Linked DNA regions of Xenopus tropicalis. The protein of the gene in region 1 purifies or fractionates together with the protein of each later gene. This does not show direct contact. Links are inferred from orthologs where the notes say so. Each region holds a gene or a part of one and is shown on either strand. Other genes may lie near its edges.

Evidence for each region. Proteins that work in one complex are often made in the same cells at the same time.
Region 2: the proteins of asf1b (region 1) and cdan1 purify together in Homo sapiens (co-immunoprecipitation; 5 studies listed by BioGRID and IntAct, counting the BioPlex papers as one, with this or other methods). This does not show direct contact. The link is inferred for Xenopus tropicalis from reciprocal best matches to the Homo sapiens genes ASF1B and CDAN1.

Annotation. Positions count from the first base shown.
Region 1 is NC_030679.2:134,219,482-134,225,327, forward strand, and holds the end of asf1b (histone chaperone asf1b), read right to left. Parts: intron 4,891-5,846; coding exon 4,775-4,890; intron 4,581-4,774; coding exon 4,404-4,580; intron 3,737-4,403; coding exon 3,536-3,736; 3' UTR 2,376-3,535; downstream 1-2,375. UniProt on the Homo sapiens protein: Histone chaperone that facilitates histone deposition and histone exchange and removal during nucleosome assembly and disassembly. Cooperates with chromatin assembly factor 1 (CAF-1) to promote replication-dependent chromatin assembly.
Region 2 is NC_030684.2:105,934,247-105,940,725, reverse strand, and holds part of cdan1 (codanin-1), read right to left. Parts: intron 5,343-6,479; coding exon 5,288-5,342; intron 5,192-5,287; coding exon 5,058-5,191; intron 4,302-5,057; coding exon 4,198-4,301; intron 3,932-4,197; coding exon 3,782-3,931; intron 763-3,781; coding exon 699-762; intron 108-698; coding exon 29-107; intron 1-28. UniProt on the Homo sapiens protein: May act as a negative regulator of ASF1 in chromatin assembly.

The DNA.
Region 1 (5,846 bases):
GACCATGGACCTGCATCTGAATTCAGATCTTCTCCAGAAGGGATTTTACATTATGTTTAGCAGCACTGCTAAAACTCCAACCAATCGGCTCTCTCTCAGTAGGGGATTTCTCAGTCTAGGACTTGCTACAGAAACCCTACTATAGTTTATATAAACACCCTGCTGAGTAGCCCCGGGGGAAGCCATTCCTGCACTGGTACAGCTGGGGTGTTTGCTACAGAAATCCTACTATAGTTTATATAAACACCCCGCTGTGTAGCCCCGGGGGAAGCCATTCCTGCACTGGTACAGCTGGGGTGTTTGCTACAGAAACCCTACTATAGTTTATATATATACCCTGCTGTGTAGCCCCGGGGGCAGCCATTCCTGCACTGGTACAGCTGGGGTGTTTGCTACAGAAACCCTACTATAGTTTATATAAATACCCTGCTGTGTAGCCCCGGGTGCAGCCATTCCTGCACTAGTACAGCTGGGGTGTTTGCTACAGAAACCCTACTATAGTTTATATAAATACCCCGCTGTGTAGCCCCGGGGGCAGCCATTCCTGCACTGGTACAGCTGGGGTGTTTGCTACAGAAACCCTACTATAGTTTATATAAATACCCCGCTGTGTAGCCCCGGGGGCAGCCATTCCTGCACTGGTACAGCTGGGGTGTTTGCTACAGAAACCCTACTATAGTTTATATAAATACCCCGCTGTGTAGCCCAATGGGTGTGGTTTGAAGTGGGAGTGGTCAAAACTGGCTTCCATTAGCGGCCCTCCACCATGTATGCTAGAGAAATTCCAGCCCTCGGCACCGCAGAAGTTGGACAGCACTGCTCTATACAATACAATGGGACTCTATGCAGCTTATGTTATCTGCTATGTAATCTGGGCCCTTTTACCTTTTTTCAGTTTGAACTGCTGCCCCCGGGCATATTTATATAAACTATTGTAGGGTTTTTAAAGTAAATACACAACTTTTACCAGTGCAAGGCAACAGTACATATAATATTAGTTTGATACACTTTAATTTTTTGTTGTTACTATTCCTTTAAGATCCTCAACAAATAATCTTGGGTCGCCAGAAGTTGTTGGACTACAACTCCCAACCTGCTTTCACCTAGGGATGCGTCGAATCTAAAAAAGTTTGGATTTGGCCGAACCCCCAAATCCTTTGCAAAGGATTCAGCCGAATAGTGAACAGAATCCAAATCGTAATTAGCGTATGCTAGTTAGGGTTTGAAAGGCATAAATGTTGCTGGCGAAAACTTTTCAACTACTGTGTTTATGTGCCAAAAAGTCATGTGATTTTTAGGATCCAGATTCGTCCAGGACCATGGATTCGGCCGAATCCTGGATTTGATGCATCCCTACTTTCAAACTTGTGCCAGCTATGAGCCCTCATTTGATGCCTATGTTTTCTAGATATTAGCTGCTCATTACTGGTTGATAATTGCAGCCTGTCGGCACAACACTGTCCCCTTCAAGCTTCATAAATCATTTTGGGGTTGTACGCTGATTAAACAGAATGTAAAATCCCTTCTGGAGAAGATCTGGATTCAGATGCAGGTTCATGGTCACATGGGTCTCCAATATGATCCTCTAGTTCAGGGATCCCCTACCTTTTACTCAGGAGCCACACAAGTATAGAGAGAGCTCTTTGGGGATGCCAAATAAGCCCCGTGTGGCCTGCAGGAAGCTTTGTTTGGAGTAAAACGGTCTCTGTGCTCCCAATTTTTGCCGCCAAGCAACATCAAAGTGGGTGGTGAGCAACATGTTACTCATGAGTCACTAGTTGGGGATCACAGCTCTAGTAAGTACAAGTGGACAATGCTCTGCAAATTTACTCTCAAGCACTCCCAAAAAAATTGGCTCTATATACTTATAAGAATGTGAATTCATTACAGGTCAACTGCTTTGGCAGAGGCCACACCAACAACAATAAATGGCTTCCCATATGGTTGCTACACCCTTGTGTAAAGGTGGCCATACACACTAAGACCTGCTCGCTTGGCGAGGTCACCAAGCGAGCGGTCTTCTCCCGATATCCCCACATACGGGTGGGCGATATCGGGGAAAATGTAGGCTAATTCGATCGTTTGGCCCTGTGCAACGGGCAAATCTAAATCTTTTAACCTGTCCGATCAATATCTGGCCAATTTCAGGCCAGATATCGGTCGGGCAGGGCCCTCGTTCCTGCCCCATACATGGGCCGATAAGCTGCTGAATCGGTCCAAGGGACAGATATCGGCAGCTACAATCGGCCTGTGTATGGGGACCTTAAAACCACCTTTATGCGGTCAGTCTTCCAGGTGGTTTACTACTGCGCCCTGCTCAGTAATACATATAATGTGGGCAATAAAGTTACCATCAGAATTCAAGTTCACAGTTGTTTGCTCTAAGTGCTTTTATTTAAGCAAATTCCTACTCACATATATATATAATAATTTTTTAAAAAAACACATAGGAAATTAATGGCCATCAACCATTTACATCCAGCTAAGGCAGCTGAACAAAAATACAAAACAAGAGAGGCTCCTGGAGTTTGGGGAGGACTCATATCTATTGCCTCCTCCCCCTTATTTGTGGGGCTGGGGATCCCCAAATATCTCAAGACCTTGAGATAGTAATTTATTTCGGCTGGAAAGCCACAGTCCGTAATATTTAGAGGAAAAAAAACAAAAGAAACCAAAACAAAAACAGTCTGTTGCAGTGGCTGCGGGGTCCACAGCCATGCTTGCAATTTCCTGGAGAACACTAGAGCAATCCTGCTCATTTATGTACCTGTCCGGTAGATAAAGATTCCTAGCATGTTGGGTGCAAGAAAATGTGCCAGTTCATGCAAGACCATTTTTGCAATTAGGCTAAATTCTATGCCTTATCTTGCATTTCCCAAAGACAAACCGGCTTCAAACAAGTTACCAGCAATGGCTCACAAAGCCGATGTTTATCTAAGGTCAGTGACAGCATGATTAATTAGCACCAGGCAGCAGAGAGATTTAATTGCAGGAAATGAAGTCTCTTCCTCGCTGAATGTACCGACATGCCTCAGTAGAGGAGGTGGCAATAATGCGACGGGCAAAAGGTACCCACGGAAGCTATAAACTGATGCTGTTAGGGACTCCAGGGCCACTACATTCAGCTCAGAGCCTTACTTTTACAGGCTCAAAGAAAAGAAAAAAAGGAGACAAAGATAGCAGTGTGAAAGAATGAAGTGTAACAAAATGTTTAAATGGATGGGCCTTGGTAGCTTTGGAAATATAAAACACTGAAACATTAAAAGGTTGGAAGTTTTCAGTTGAAATAATATACTGCTGAGCGAAAGGCGGGAAGATCTGTCTCGTTACGAGAGGAAGACTGCTTTTGTGTAAAAAAAAAAAAAAATCCTACTAATTGGTGAGTGGAACTACCGGCAAGCTAGACACTCTGGAGCGACAGAAGTGTTAAGTTGGCAGTGATTGTAGAGTGCTCACAGGAAGCCGAGACTGTTGTGGTAGAGAGTTTGTGGCAGTTTCCCTTGCTGCAGCCCATATTGCCCCTCTGTTACTGCTATCACATACAGTCCATGGAATTCTCTGGGATTGGGTTAAGTGCAGCTGCAAGACCCTTAGACGGGGCACAGTTAGGAGGCAACATTGCATTAGAGGCAGGGTCCACGTTTTCAATGTCTTCCATCTTTGCCTCGCTCGCGCATTCCCAGTTGATGTGAAAGCGTGTGACGCGTGGGTTTGATGCCAGGATGTTTCTCTGAAGCTGTAGATAGATCAAAAAAAAAAAAAAAAAATTGGACAAATGGTCATCTAAACCAGAGTGGCAAGCAGGCCAACACCAAAACCTGCAAGATGCCACAAGCAGTTTGTGGGCCTAACTTTTCCCAGGGACCTCCCAATTGGTGGTATCAGTCCCAGCCCCCCTGGCTGCTGGGTTCCTGGTTCACTTCAATAATAGTCTTAGTTATCCAGGCAGGAATGATGGCTACAGGTGCTCCCTTTATTTACCAACACCTGTTTTGAATCTGTAATTATCTAGGCTTTGAATTCCTACCTCCTAGTTTCTCCCATGCCTGTTATAAGTCTACCTACCATAGTTCCTGGGTACGCATTTTGTCCTGTCTTGTTCTGACCCCGGCCTGTATCCTGACTGAGTTAATTCTCCCTGTTTGACTCTGCTTCTGGATCCAGATTGTGTACTGCGCTACCATTCAGGTTTTGACCCGGCCTGCCTGATTTGGATTCTTGTAAGCTCCCTCTCACCTTAAGACCTGGCGGCACCCGAGTAGTGGAGGGCTCAACCCGAAGCCAAAGGTGGGCGTTATAGGCAGAAGTGTGAGCTATGACCGGGACCCTTGTTCTGGGTTACCGATCTTGACAATACTAATCAAAAAGCCTTACATACACAGACACACAAGTTATGTAAATACCTGGCCGAAATGTGGTTTGAGAGGTGGGTTCTCCCGTAGCTCTGGATCAGAATACTCATTGTTTACATAATATCCAACTCTGATAAACTCCTGACCACGGTACGTGCAAGTAATCAACACTACAGTCACTCCTACAGCGTCGGACTCGGGGATAAGGCTGGAATTGGGAGCATCTGCCTGCATAGGAAGAGAGAAATTTACTATAGGTGCTCAATCTAAAAATATAAAACAAAGAAAAAAATCCTCCATATCAGTCCATGGTAAGTCAATTAAGATGTATTAATAAGACTTCACGTCAATCTGATCTAATGCAAGACTCTGTAAATAAGCAAGATAGGAGACAAATGGAATGTCAGCTCTTTGACACTCACTTGAAAGACGAACATGTGGCGGCCGGCGGGGACAGGTCCCACCAAGACAGAATCCAGCACCTGATCATATTCTTCACTCTCAGCAGATCCCACATAGATGATCTTCCATTCCAGATCTAATGAGACAGTGCATAGCATACAATAAATGTGACAATACTGCTGGCGAATAACCACCCATATAACCCGATTAATGCATTCAATAAAGTTTTGCTTGTCTGGTTTAAAACCAAGGAGCATATGGGGGGGGGGGGGGGGGGGGAGAATCTGCCAGACTTCTCACTGAACACCCACTTGTACCAACTACAAAGTAGAGGAGCAGCAGTGAAGGGGTAAATGCATATTTTAGGCATAAAGACAAAAACCGTAAACATATTTTCAGTTTATCAATAATTGAAGACATGCAATGTATTTTTTTTTTTATCTAAAAGCAATAGCTGGAAAAACCATCAAAGTAATTGATAATTAGAATAGCCTAAGCTGAAACAGCACGCATACCATCATATACTGTATGTGACATCTGCAGTGACCAAGCTGCCCAGAGTGTAACCATTAAAACTGGGGATGTTCTTGAAACCTTAACATTGCCCACCACAAACTGCACTGTGAGAACTGATCTTTAGGAGCCCTATCTGACTGCTTGCCCCAGTACTGCATTATTATACATGCACACATACATGGGAGCTTTTTTCTGACTACAATGGCATCTAATTATGTAGGAGCATTGGTTTTTCACATGAAATAAAAATGTAATTCATTCATTCATTCATTGTGCTCATTTTCACTGCTGGGCTCAATACTGGCCATTTGAGCTCTGACACCACAATTGTCAAAAATATATAAATGCATAACAGGGATGCACTGAATTCAAGGTGTCAACCAAAACCACAGCCATTTTTGCAGGATTCAGTTAGGTCGAAACCTTTAGAGAGCAGTGATCCCCAACCAGTAGCTCGTGAGCAACATGTTGCTCTCCAGTCCCTTGGATGTTGCTCCCAGTGGCCTCAAAGCAGATGTTTATTTTTGAATTCCTGGCTTTTGGCCAAGTTTTGGTTGCATAAATACCATATGTACT
Region 2 (6,479 bases), on another chromosome or scaffold:
TAAATATGGCTTTATGTGTTAAAACTACCTGATATATTGGCACGTAGCCAGGAGCATGCCTTCTCTATAGCTAGGGCCACTGCTATGTCCTCAGCACTATTCAGCACCTAGAGGGGAAAAGAGACAAACCACCAAAATATGATCATGCACCATATAAACAAAATATGTACACACATACATAGAAATTGAAGTGAATTCAGTTCTATATCATTAATTACATAATTACTAACTATATTACTAAATTTACTAACTATACATTATTAATTATTAATACTGCTTACAAATCCATATTGGATAAAGGGGTTTAGCCATGCCTACGGTAGTTATACATAGCCCATCCATTTGCCTTTCTAGCAACAACATGCCTGCTGTATCCAATCAGGAAGAGAATATTAGTTTAGGCGAGAAAGGCATGGTAAGGGGAACGTGTGTGTGAACCAATGTTCCCTAGTTGGTACACCCCCAAAGCCCTCCATAGGTCAGTTCTGTGGTGCCAATGCTTACGAGCAAGAACAGACTAAAGCTTTGGTGTCCAGGACCACTCTCCTCCTTTAACTCTACACTTAGCAGTTGGTTAGAATGAATTCTGACACTTTTCGAGAAGAAATGCCTATTTATTTTGTCCAAATTAATGTAAATGTTTTACAATACTACAATAATATTCTCAACATTTTTGCAAAGCAAGTAGCGCTACCTACAGATGCAGATATCTCCTCAGGCAACAGAACTCGAAGGGCCTCTGGAACTTTCTTTGTGCAATACCTACAAACAGCAATATGCAGTAAATGAGCACTAACGAAATAAAAGGGCACAGAATATAGAACATTCACTGTACAATCAGAGTCAAAATAAGCGACTCCCAGACCAAAATGTGATAGGAGTGCTTTAGGCCAGGCAGAACATCCCATCAGCTGAAGACAGCATCCACATGTGAATGGGGTCCATGGCCAAATGGGGGTCATTTAAATTTTGTAATTTAAAATAAAACTGAAACAGATTAATTGGTTCATCGTATAGGAGGTAGATCTGCTCATCTTGTAACCTGGTAAAAAACAAATTCTGTGTGTGATCTGTATGATCAATTTAAAGAAAAAGTAAACCTTCAAAAAAAGTAAATGTGAAATTGATGACAGTGCTATTTTAAGCAGTTTTAACAATACAGGTTTGTTTGTTTTTGTTGTTTGTTTTTTTTTTTAAAGATTCAATGATATTAAGGGAAATATGTACAGTTAATATATAAATAATACAATTTAATATAAATAATGAATTTTGTTACAGCAGCGCTACCTGCTGGTCAGTTTCCCGCCATGGTGTAGTCGAGGAACTTGTCAGGAGAAAGGGGGCTTGGCCTGATGTTTTTCTGGTTAGGAAAGACGTGAGAAAAGCTACTGGGGTGCTTTCCCTAACCAGAAAAACATCAGAGCAGCCCTTACTGACCAGCTGGTGGCGCTTGTGTAACAACTTAATTCATATTAACAGTGCATATATCCCTTAATATTCCTTTAAATCTTGAAAAAAAAATTGCAAAATTAGTTAGAATAGCACTCTTAGCAATTTTACATTCACTTAAACTATGAGGTGAGACTGTCGAGGTTGGGGTTGTTTTCTCTGGAAAAGAGGCGCTTGCGAGGGGACATGATTACTCTGTACAAGTACATTAGAGGGGATTATAGGCAGATGGGGGGTGTTCTTTTTTCCCATAAAAACAATCAGCGCACCAGAGGTCACCCCTTTAGATTAGAGGAACGGAGCTTCTATTTGAAGCAGCGTAGGGGGTTTCTCACAGTGAGGGCAGTGAGGTTGCTGAATGCCCTTCCTAGTGATGTGGTAATGGCAGATTCTGTTAATGCCTTTAAGAGGGGCCTGGATGAGTTCTTGAACAATCAGAATATCCAAGGCTATTGTGATACTAATATCTACAGTTAGTATTAGTGGTTGTATATATAGTTTATGTGAGTGTATAGATGTTCTATGTTTAATAAGGATCACACTTAATCTAGTTGTATTATTATTTGTATACAGTGGTGTGAAAAACTATTTGCCCCCTTCCTGATTTCTTATTCTTTTGCATGTTTGTCACACAAAATGTTTCTGATCATCAAACACATTTAACTATTAGTCAAAGATAACACAAGTAAACACAAAATGCAGTTTTTAAATGAGGGTTTTTATTATTTAGGGGGAAAAAAAATCCAAACCTACATGGCCCTGTGTGAAAAAGTAATTGCCCCCTGAACCTAATAACTGGTTGGGCCACCCTTAGCAGCAATAACTGCAATCAAGCGTTTGCGATAACTTGCAACGAGTCTTTTACAGCGCTCTGGAGGAATTTTGGCCCACTCATCTTTGCAGAATTGTTGTAATTCAGCTTTATTTGAGGGTTTTCTAGCATGAACCGCCTTTTTAAGGTCATGCCACAACATCTCAATAGGATTCAGGTCAGGACTTTGACTAGGCCACTCCAAAGTCTTCATTTTGTTTTTCTTCAGCCATTCAGAGGTGGATTTGCTGGTGTGTTTTGGGTCATTGTCCTGCTGCAGCACCCAAGATCGCTTCAGCTTGAGTTGACGAACAGATGGCCGGACATTCTCCTTCAGGATTTTTTGGTAGACAGTAGAATTCATGGTTCCATCTATCACAGCAAGCCTTCCGGGTCCTGAAGCAGCAAAACAACCCCAGACCATCACACTACCACCACCATATTTTACTGTTGGTATGATGTTCTTTTTCTGAAATGCTGTGTTACTTTTACGCCAGATGTAACGGGACACGCACCTTCCAAAAAGTTCAACTTTTGTCTCGTCGGTCCACAAGGTATTTTCCCAAAAGTCTTGGCAATCATTGAGATGTTTTTTAGCAAAATTGAGACGAGCCATAATGTTCTTTTTGCTTAAAAGTGGTTTGCGCCTTGGAAATCTGCCATGCAGGCCGTTTTTGCCCAGTCTCTTTCTTATGGTGGAGTCGTGAACACTGACCTTAATTGAGGCAAGTGAGGCCTGCAGTTCTTTCGATGTTGTCCTGGGGTCTTTTGTGGCCTCTCGGATGAGTTGTCTCTGTGCTCTTGGGGTAATTTTGGTCGGCCGGCCAGTCCTGGGAAGGTTCACCACTGTTCCATGTTCTTGCCATTTGTGGATAATGGCTCTCACTGTGGTTCGCTGGAGTCCCAAAGCTTTAGAAATGGCTTTATAACCTTTACCAGACTGATAGATCTCAATTACTTTTGTTCTCATTTGTTCCTGAATTTCTTTGGATCTTTGCATGATGTCTAGCTTTTGAGGTGCTTTTGGTCTACTTCTCTGTGTCAGGTAGCTCCTATTTAAGTGATTTCTTGATTGAAACAGGTGTGGCAGTAATCAGGCCTGGGGGTGACTACAGAAATTGATATTGAAATTGAAAATTGAAATTGATAAACCACAGTTAAGTTATTTTTTAACAAGGGGGGCAATCACTTTTTCACACAGGGCCATGTAGATTTGGAGTTTTTTTTCTCCCTTAATAACGTAAACCTTCATTTAAAAACTGCATTTTGTGTTCAATTATGTTATCTTTGACTAATAGTTAACGGTTTTTGATGAGCAGAAACATTTAAGTGTGACAAACATGCAAAAGAATAAGAAATCAGGAAGGGGGCAAATAGTTTTTCACACCACTGTATATTGTAATACAGCTATTCTGTTTCTCCCATTAAAAGCTGCCCCAGAAAACATATTCATAATGGCAACTTGCATAGCAACAGTAATATCAAAATAGGAGTGTATATATATAGTGTTTTTGAGCTTACTCTTTGCCTTTCTGCACTGCCTGCCTGCCATCTTCACAGAGCTTGGTGCATACAGTCTCAAGCTGCTTGCTGTGGGTAGAACTGTCCTCTGTCACACTATCCTGCAGGAGGAGCTCTGCCCTCTTCACAAGTTCTGCCACAAGAGTGGCCCTGCAGGAAATAAGCTCAGCTGTAAATGTACCAAACAGTCCGGCTTGCATACCCACACACTGTCACTGTAGTACTTACGCCACCATAGCATTACAAACCAAACCCAATATATAAAAAATGCTCTCCTGTAAGCAACGGATATTTATAAAGTATTGCAATGAAGACATGCACATCAGAATGCACAGCTTATTTATAGTCCATGAATATCTTGTTAGAACATGTCTAGCATTAATAGAAAGAGCCTGCAAACCCTTACAACCACTTACTTGATGTGCTTTACACAGTTGGAACCAATTCGTTCTGCCACAAACTCCACTGTTCTCCGAAGAGAGGGCGACTGATTGTGGAAGAATGCTTGCTCCAGTTCGGCCTGTACAAATATGAGCAGAAACACCTACTACAGCAACATAAAATGATCACTATCCCCCCATAGGAACAGAAGGATGATTGACTGAACACATGCTTGAGCCAGGCATCAGCTTTCATAAACGTGTTAATTCATTTAAAATCTTCCAGTCAGAAAACTGTTGATAAATGGGGAAAATAATGAACTGCTAGGAATCCTTCAGAATTCCCAGCTTAATATTTTACAAATCGGTTCCGAGATTTTTACCCCTAACTAGTAAAATACATGGACATTCCCCACACCTGTTCATATGCCCATAGTTACACTGCATAGCTAATTATGTGCATATTTAAATTAATTTGTGTGGAATTACATAATCTGGATCAACTAGCAGTAAGGTAGGCTTCACTTAAACAGGATGAACTTGATGGGCGTGTGTCTTTTTTCAACCTCATCTATGATGATACTATTGGGTTTTTGTTTTTATCATGAAAGCTTCTAACGCTTGCACAACTGTATCTGCTATCAGACTGACAATACTGCTTCTCTGTTGGCTGGCACATTGAACGTGCAACTGTAAAGACAGTGGCATAAGGTAATGGTGAAATAGCTAGGGAAACTACGTACATACAGAATGTATCTGTCCTAATGGATTCTTGCACCATGCCAAGCCCAGGCTTAGAGCACCTACTACAGGAATGCTGGAATCCAGAACCACAAGATACTTGCTGTCCCTTACTTTCTCCACTGTTACATAAATGGATAAACCATTCATTTTACCTGAAGTTTTTTTTGTGATAAGGTAGGCTTTGGGATAAGAGGCTCTGCAGCAGTGGGAGTTATTTTCCTCAGAAAACCCCCATTTTTGGCACTGCTACCAGCCACAAATGATAACAGTAACTTTTTCAGTTCTCCTGTAAATGATATAAAGCAAACATGTTACATATATACATGCACACAATACAATGAACAATTGGTGAAAAAGCACTAGTTTAATGGATGTTACTTACCCAGATATGGGCAACAACTATACAGCAGCTGTTGGTCCACCAAAGGCATGGAGTCCTAGCAGAGGTGAAATAGAAAATATAATGCTCTATGACTTAAGATTGTAGCAAACTGGAAAGCACCCCTAGCATTCCCAACCCCAAAACAGCCTAGCTGTGTCACTGGAACTCCTGTTTAGTATAAGGCAGCCTGGGGAATCCTATCCATAAAACTCAGGCTTTATCCAATGAAATGATTAAGAGGTGAATATATAAACGAGATCTATCAAAATTTAGGCAAAATAAGAATCTGGAAGCAATTGATCAATGATACGGTTATAGTATGAAAGATTCCAACATGCTACACTTTAATAATAACTGTCTAGGGTTAAGATGCACATGGGATTTACCTGGAACTGAATTGCCTTTTCTAGCCTTGTGCTTGAAAAAGCATGGTGTGGGAGACTTATCTACAACCATTTATATGAAATACACATTCACAAGGGCATTTGTGCTTATATGGACACTCTTTCCCACCCATTACTAGGTAAGGTGTAATCATTTAATCACATAAAACCAAACCAGCATCCCTTTAAGCACACAGCTGTACAAAGGCTCTAACTGCACAAAAACATAACCGCTAACTTCTCTTATTTATCATTTTACCATTTTGTCTTTAACAAAGGTTTGGTAGTTTGATGTAGTTCAATTCGTAAGAATGTAGCTTTCTGGTGTTTGCTGTTAGGGAGTCATAGAACCTATTTTATGTTGGTACCTTATGACCTGTAGGAGACACAATTCTATAAACTAGAAGCTTTGTGATGGCATTGCAGTTTGGAGTAGAATTTACACACTTTGAATTCATCAAAATGTGATCTTTACAAAATGTAAGGTTTCCTTGGGTCAACCTATTGTCAGTGGAATTTTCGGCCTTGAAAACTAAAGTATGCAGCTTTCTGGAGTGGTGCTTTGAAAACTATACATAGAGTATTGGCGCATTCAGTAGACACGGGACTTCTACTACATTTTCATGCATTTAAAAAAAGAAAAAAAACTTATGCTCCTGATACAATGTCTGTTCACAGAATCGGAACTAAATATATGAATATTCTGAAATCTTAGGTTGCCCTAAAAAAGGTGCCACATATATATATACATATATATATATATATATATATATATATATATATATATATATATATATATATATATATAT